Tamandua tetradactyla: one gene and its partner. The main gene of each other region encodes a partner of the protein of the gene in region 2 in a complex. Links are inferred from orthologs where the notes say so. Each region holds a gene or a part of one and is shown on either strand. Other genes may lie near its edges.

Evidence for each region.
Region 1: the proteins of ANXA11 (region 2) and TARDBP are in contact, whole or in part, in a cryo-EM structure (PDB 9FOR), measured with the Homo sapiens proteins. The link is inferred for Tamandua tetradactyla from reciprocal best matches to the Homo sapiens genes ANXA11 and TARDBP. Residues at the interface, in NP_001148.1 of Homo sapiens: Gly56, Met57, Ala59, Met61, Ser62, Gly63, Phe65, Asn69, Pro71, Asn72, Leu73; in NP_031401.1 of Homo sapiens: Ala328, Leu330, Ser332, Trp334, Gly335, Met337, Gly338, Met339, Ala341, Ser342, Gln343.

The regions. Positions count from the first base shown.
Region 1 is NC_135328.1:214,374,598-214,378,342, forward strand, and holds the start of TARDBP (TAR DNA-binding protein 43), read right to left. Parts: upstream 2,321-3,745; 5' UTR 2,243-2,320; intron 2,218-2,242; exon of another isoform or gene 1,560-2,217; intron 873-1,559; 5' UTR 859-872; coding exon 621-858; intron 1-620. UniProt on the Homo sapiens protein: RNA-binding protein that is involved in various steps of RNA biogenesis and processing.
Region 2 is NC_135339.1:16,846,409-16,850,153, forward strand, and holds the start of ANXA11 (annexin A11), read right to left. Parts: upstream 2,716-3,745; 5' UTR 2,592-2,715; coding exon 2,537-2,591; intron 894-2,536; coding exon 781-893; intron 1-780. UniProt on the Homo sapiens protein: Binds specifically to calcyclin in a calcium-dependent manner. Required for midbody formation and completion of the terminal phase of cytokinesis.

The DNA of each region.
Region 1 (3,745 bases), on a different chromosome or scaffold from region 2:
AAATTTTCTAGATGTCCTCCATCTTGAAGAAGTCTGATGGGCTAATCTTGTTGCAATATCAAGTTATAAATAAAAGTTACCATGTAGATATGTGCATTCCTGCTGCTAAAATGCACCTATAGCTTTCTTAATGTTCATTTTTACTTTTCTTAAATTTAGAACATCACTGAGAAGAGGCAGCAAGAAGAAATAAGACCAGGACCAACACTGATTGAGTCAAGATTTGAGGTACTGCAATTGATGCTCACTTAACGGAAAATAAAAGATGTCAGATTAGGCGAATGAAGGATGTGACTGTATGAGCAATGACCAACCAAATCCAAATCTGGGGGCACTTTGGAAGACTGTATTGTTTTTAATAGTTTCTTAAATTTGTCACCAGTCTGGTTTACACTTGTTCTGATTAAAAAAATACAGTATTTTTTCTCTAGAAATGCCCCACAATTCTCAATTTTTACTAATCTAGGCTAGTTGTCACTCAAAGCAGTCTAATAAAGTTTGAGGAACAACTAACATTATAGGAGATGTTTCACCATAAACGGAGGCCATGATGGATGACTCAGAATGAGAAACAACCTCACCATACTTCAGCATAATTGTAAAACCAAGTGGTAACAAACCTTTGGGATAGTTGACAACGTAGACAAGATTTCCCCAGCCTGCATCAGGTGCATGCAGAACTCCTTCTACTAGCCGGACACCTCTCATACATTGAGACACTGGATTCCTGTAGCGCAGACCACATGCTCCTGGAAACTGGGCCGTAACTGTGGACAGCAGCACTGTCCCATCATCTTCTGATGGTATTTCAATAGGCTCGTCATTCTCATCTTCGGTTACCCGAATATATTCAGACATCTTTTCTTATTTTTCTTAAAGTGAAAAGAGAGATGAATGACCAACACTCACATGAAGAACACTTTTCTTACAATCAGGTGAAAACTCCTATCACCAGGTTATGGTTCTACAACTTCCACAAAAATTCTTGCTGCTCTGATTCTTACACCTATCGGTTATCACTAAGAGATGAGGCAAGCACAAGGAAAGCAATTTCCTATTAAAATACGATACCGTCCTAGGTTCACTCATTCAGTAAGTAACTACTTTGCATCAGGTGCTGCAACTTTAGGACTATGAAAGCAGTCGATCCCAAGTGGCATGCTTGGTTACAAAGGGGTAGGAATAATCAGCAGAAATACAGTTAACATGTAATTTTGTTGCAATCGAGACATACATATGCTACCGGGAAAAAAAAGTAAATAACTCTGAGAAAGCCGGGGAGAATCAAAGCTGGTTGAGGCGTGTGCATATGTATGCCAAAGAGCACGCATGCCACAATAGGTTTCCTTAAGAAAGTGATGTATAATGCTCAAACTTGAAGACTGAACGAAAAGAAATGAGCTAGGTGAAGAGAGAAAAGTTCCCTTCCCTTCGGTCCCTCGTTTTAGGGCTTCCGTGGACTCTCCAAACTTGTGCCTTAGGAACAGCTACGACCAGTCCTTCGGATCCGCGCTGCCACCTCCCAGAAGCCAGCGCGTGACCGCCGAGGGAGGAGTTTTTAAGCGCGTCCCGGGGTGGAGCCGCAGGGGTACTAGGCCTGGGCTGACAGTGTCCCCCCGAGTGCCAAGTGCCTAAGGGATAAAGCACTGGCCGGGCCAGGAGAAAGGCCAACTCACGGTCCCTACACCCACTCCGCCTCATACTGGATGGCCCCGTGGGCCCAGCATCCCAACACTGGCGCCTGCTGCCGGCCCGCGGCTCCCCCCAACGCCGCTCCCGCGCGAGCCTACTCGGGCAGGACGAGGGAGGCCTGGCCTCATGGCTCCCTTCCCCAGGCGGACTCTGACGCCTCTGCATCTGCCTAGGCCACCCCAATAGGAAAGCAGCGCCATCCAGGGCGTCCTCAGTGGGAAGCGTCCGCAACTCACCCTCCAGGAAGCTGCTAGGAAGCCCGACAGGTAAACCAAAACACCGACGGGCCCGAGAGCAGGCCAGCCACCGCTTCGCTCTCACAAAATGGCGCTAGGGCCGCCTCCTTCCCCCGCCCGTCGCCATCCTCTCCCACCGGATCCCCGCCAACAGGGGGGAGGACCCCGCACAGAAACACAATAACCTCTCTCCGGCTAGTCAGCTTCCCTCTTTGGAGTCTGCGCGTGCTAATAGTACTTTTCGTCTAAAATAACATCACCAGTTGGACTTGAAAAGCTAAAAACTGAAAAAACGTGGGCGCGTAGGCTTTTACCTTCCTCCCACGTAGCGTAGAGGATGGTTTCGCCCAACTAACCGCCAACCCTGGGTCTCGGCTGGAGCTCGCGCAATTTGAAAGAGCGCGAGACTAGCTTAGGGGCAGGGCCAGGAAGAGCGGGGCGGGGCCGGCCCCCGTAGGGCGGGGCCGAGTGGGGGCGGAGGCTGGGGTCGCAGGTTCTCCTTACCTGGGCGACTTGGGAGGTGGGAGAGGACAGGGCCTCCTTTGTTTAAAAAGCCAACTCGGTGCTTACTGTCCTCCCTACTCTAGCCAAACTTCGAACCTGGAAAGAAGAACTTTGTTTCTAAGTAATAAGCCAGATAGTGTCTACTTAGGCCGGGCACTTTCTAAGTACTTACATATTTAACTCACCGAACATTCTTGGCGAATGAGGAAACTGGGGCACAGAGAGGTTAGGTAGTTTGCATAAAGTTACCCGGGTGCCTAAGGCATAGAATGCTGACACTAGCTCTAGCCCACTAATCACAGCTATACTATGTTCCATCTATTTTGGAACACATTTGTTTCACATTTCTGAAATCAGTATAAATTTTAGATGCAGTTACAATTAATAACACGTCATAATGTTTGTGATAGCTCTATTGCTATTATTTAGAAACAAAAGTTCTTTCTAGGTTTGGAGGTTGGCTGAGGGAGGAAGGGGAGGTTAAGCTCAACTGACAACACTTAATTTCTTAGTGTTACATAAAATAAGATCATGTATCAGATTCAGTGCAATGCAGTAATAGCAAAGGTTTACACAGACCATGGTTTAAATGCTTTATGTATTAATTTGTATAATCCTCTCAACAGCCCTTATAAGGAAGGTGCTAATATTATCATTCCTGCTTTGCAGATGAGGAAACCTAGGTACAGAGATTCAATAATTCTGCCCACGTTCATGCTGGTGGGAAATGTTGGGGCCCAGATTTGAACCCAGATAGCAAAGCTCTGAAGTGGGTGCACTCTGCAGCTTCTTGCATCTTACAGTTTCCTAGGGGACAAACAGTAAATCTTACAATTCCATCTCTGATGCCTGCTTTTCATATCAACCAGAGTATTCCTGAACCAATTTGGAAAGACCAGGGAGGGAAAAGAAACAGGAATGGGGTGTAATGAATGACCTTCACTCACCTCCAAGGGACAGAAGTCCCTTTGTAACTGGTACCTGGTTCGCAATGGTGCCACCTGAGCCCCCTTCCAGGTCCCACAGCTAAAAGAATTTAGAGAAGGCAGTAAGAATAAATAGTAAATTTATTAAACAGAAGGAGAGAGTACATATTAGAGAGGTTAATGCAGCCATGCCCAGGGGAGGGGCACTGAGTGGGTGGGGTTTAGCTTGCTTTATAGGATGTCTTGTTGGTAGCAGGTTTCCGTAGTAACCTGTGAGCACCAGGTGTCTTCTTTGTGCAGATTCCCACGGTGGCCTTTGGGCAGGAGGCCTCTTCTCTGTTCTAGGAGGAGAATTCATGGTTTGTTGTCACATACCTAAAATTTATC
Region 2 (3,745 bases):
ACGTCCCCTTTTCAGCAAGGCCAGCCTGACCACTCAACTTAACAGCACTGCCCACATCACCAACCCCCTCACTTCAGACCCGCCGCCTCCTGCACGCTCTTCCTTTATACAGCACCAACCCGTTTTCAAACAAGGCACAGTTCAAATGTTCCTTGTCTGTCTCTCCCAGGTAGATGGCATATGCAGGAGGGTTGAGATGTCTCCTTGATTTATTCCCATATCCCCAGGGCCTAGAGCTGGGCCTGGTACCAATTAGGCTGCATGTTGGCTACACTGCTTACATTGAGCACACACGCGTTTTCAGATTATAAAATACATCATTTTAAAAGCAAAACAACAAATTAAAGCAGCATGTCTGTCTATGCTACTTGCCACCGCCTCTTCCTTAGGCTCCATCAGAATAGCCATCCTTTGTCCAAACTCACTCGCACATACAAATGCGTATGTGTGTACATAACCTGCTTCCCGCCCTGCCCCAGCCCTTAGGCTGAGCTCATACAGAAGGTGCTCAATAAATGTTCCATGAAGGCACCGCGCATTATACAAACCCCCAAGAAGAAAGGGACCTGAGAGACCACAGGGCCCTGTACCTTCCCTTCCCTTCAGTTTACCAAAAGGACACAAGTGAGACCCACACAGGAACAGCGAGTAGGCAGGGGGCCCTGAGGACAGTTCTATGTCCCAGGATGGAGCCCGGCATACCCAGGTGGACCCATACAGACACCTTGAGGCCATGGGAAGCCAGCCACAGGGGCAGCCTTGGTGGGAGGCTGGACTCACCATTCCTGAGAGGTACTCCGGGTTGAACTGCCCTGCGTAGCTGGCCACGTTATCCAGCCCAATGGGGGGCATGTTGGGTGGGGGGTAGCCAGCACCCCCCCAGGCACCACCACCTGAAAGCAACACCAGGCCCGTGAGCCCTGTCCCGAGTGGCCCCAAAAGGGAAAAAGCAAAGACACTGAGCTCCCAGGAGGTCAGGAGACAAGGCCCAGCAGAGGGGACAGGGCTGCGTCCCACACCCCACAGAAAAGCCTGACTTGATCCTGCTGCCAAAGCAAGAAGGAGAAACCTGCTCCTCCTTCCAGGGAGGGAAGTGGAGCTCAACGGACACTCCTGAGAACAACCCCCCACCCCCACCCCCACCCCCACCCCCTGCGCAGTCACCCTCCCACAGCGGGCAGGGCGGGCACAGGAGGTGACTGCTCGAGAATCCAGAGGGGACACAGAAGCACAGGGGGTGGGGTGGGTTCCTGCCAGTTCGGCTGTTTGCTAGGACACATTTGGGAGAGGCAGGATGAGAGGATGGAGAGACACCACTGGACCACGGAAAACACACAATATGGGGAGATACCAGGAAAAGCTCTAGCTCTGAACAGACAGGGACAGGGGACTCGGCTTGGGGCCGGCACTGCACCACCATGGGCTCAGGCTCCTCCGCTGACAAATGGGATAATTAGCCTAATTAGCCTCCCTGGAAGAGCTGTGAGGAGGGCTGAGAGCCTGGGGAACGTGCACTGGTTAGATGCAGGGACAAGGCCCCCCAAGGACCTGGTTTTGGCTTCTCAGCTCTTGGGCTCTGGGAAGTTCAGGGCAGTGGATCCTTCCCTGTGTCACCAGCCCACTCCCTCTCTGGCTGCTCAGAGGCTAAGCAGCTGTGCTGACAAATGGCGGCAGCGGTGGGACACAGAGGGCTGGACTCCTACCAGGGTGGGGGCTGAGGCCGTGGGAGCAAATCGGAGGCAGGAGCTCGGGTCAGAGAAATGGCTCAGCTAGACCCCTGCTGGGCTGTGAGCCTGGGGCTGAGCCGCCTCCCTGCTCTGGGCCTGTCCCTTCACCTGTCAGTGGGAGGGCGATCCAAGTGACCCACGGGGCCCATCGTGCTTGGGCCCGAGGACCTCGCCAGGTGCAGCCCGGAGTGAGGGGCTCCCTCTTGTCCCAGGAGCCCCGACATTTCCTTTCTGATTGTGGGGACCAAATCTCACTTTAGGAAAACAGGAGGCAACAGGGCCAGAGAAGACGGCTCCTCAGTGTGGTGGAAAGTGGTGAAGTTAGGGCCATGCCTGGATCCCTGACCAGGTGGGTTCACCTCGGTGCTACCTGTGGCCACAGCTTCTGGGCAGCTGCAGCGAGGAAGGCCTCGTTTCCTCCCGCTGTAGGGGGACTGGGCTGCAAAACCATGCACCTGTCACCTAACAGAGCTTCAGGACGCTTTGCTTGGTGACCTCAGTAACAAGCATCCACGCAGCACAGGGAGGGACCCAGGAAGCCATCTTGCAAAGATGAAAATGGAAGAAGGGGCAGCGTTTGCTCAGTGCCATCAGCTAATAAGGCAAGAGAGTGGGTCGGTCCCTGCCTTTGGAAGCAGATTCAAACCCAGGCCTCTTCAGGCCTTGGGGTCCATGCCCTTTTTCTAGCCCCAGCCCCCCAATTGGTGGTTCCTTCCCCTCCCTATGTGGGTGTGCTGTGGAGGAAGATGGGGAGGGAGGAAACTGCCCCAAAACACTATTATTCCCCAGTCCACCCCAGTCCCTCTTACCTGGTGCAGCTGGGGGGTAGCCGCCTGCGGGCGGGGGATAGCCGGGGTAGCTCATGGGGAGATCTGAAAGAGAAGAGGAAAGCACACTCGGGCTCTGCCCCCACCAGCCACACGCACAGCGCTTGGCTTCTTAGACGCGACAGAAACAAACCACAACCAGGACCCTCTCCTCTGACAGCTCTTTTTCTTCCTGAAGCCCTCCCTCCCTCCCCATCGCAACAGCTCTCCTCCTCCCTGTTTTTTGGGCTGCTGGGTTTTCTGGACAACGCTAGGTCTTACGTGGAGGCCTGCTGAAGTTCTCCCTTAGGTCCATCACCGCGGCCTGCAGGGAGCCTCTCAAGTGCCAGCTGACATCACACGCTTTAGCTCAGCTATGTTCCGATAGCTACCGATCTGGTCCACATGGCATTGTGACTCTTCCAAGTAATGGGTACGAAAAGGGCCCAGGACTGACCCCCGAGCCGTCGTCAGGGGTGAACTGTCACATTTAAGAGGAATTTCCCTAAGAAGCATGTGGTGGCTGAGGGACCGCTGGCCCTCCCCCAGTGGCCGGGCAGTAGGCAGCACAGAGTCCTCTGAGGTCCTGCCCAAGTCCTCAGACCTCACTGGTGAGGAGGTGGCGTGGCGGGTTTGAATGATGGACTAGGAACCTTCTGAAGGCAGAAAGAAGAACTGCTCCAAAGGAGAGCAGGGGGAGCTGCTCCCATGTCCTGACACCTTGCCCTTGGGAGACCCATCACCAGGGACGGCCTTTGGGAATCAAAGCCCATTCCCTACTCCTGGTCTCCTCTTAGAAGAATGACGCCAAACGGCCCCTCCATAGCCAGGTCAGAGTTAAAAGACAAGAACAGCACAGTTGGGTTACTACCCTAATTCCTTACGCCAAAATCAATTTTAGCCAGATTAGATTTAAGTGTAAGAAATGGCTCCAAAGCCCAAGAATATAAAATCAAAGCTCTAAAACACAATATAAAGTTGGAGAAATGACAAAGGTAGAAAAAATGTTTTACAGGCCTTGTTTTAAAATAAAAAGCTCTTTAAAGATGAAATCAAAGATACAAGTGCTGGAGAAAATGTAGAGAGAGGGTTATACCTATTCACCGCTGTTAGGGAAGTAAAACGGTGCAGCCCACCTGGATGGCAGTGCAGTGGCCCCACAGGAGGTTAGGTATAGAGCTGCCACATGATGCTGCAATCCTATTATTAGGT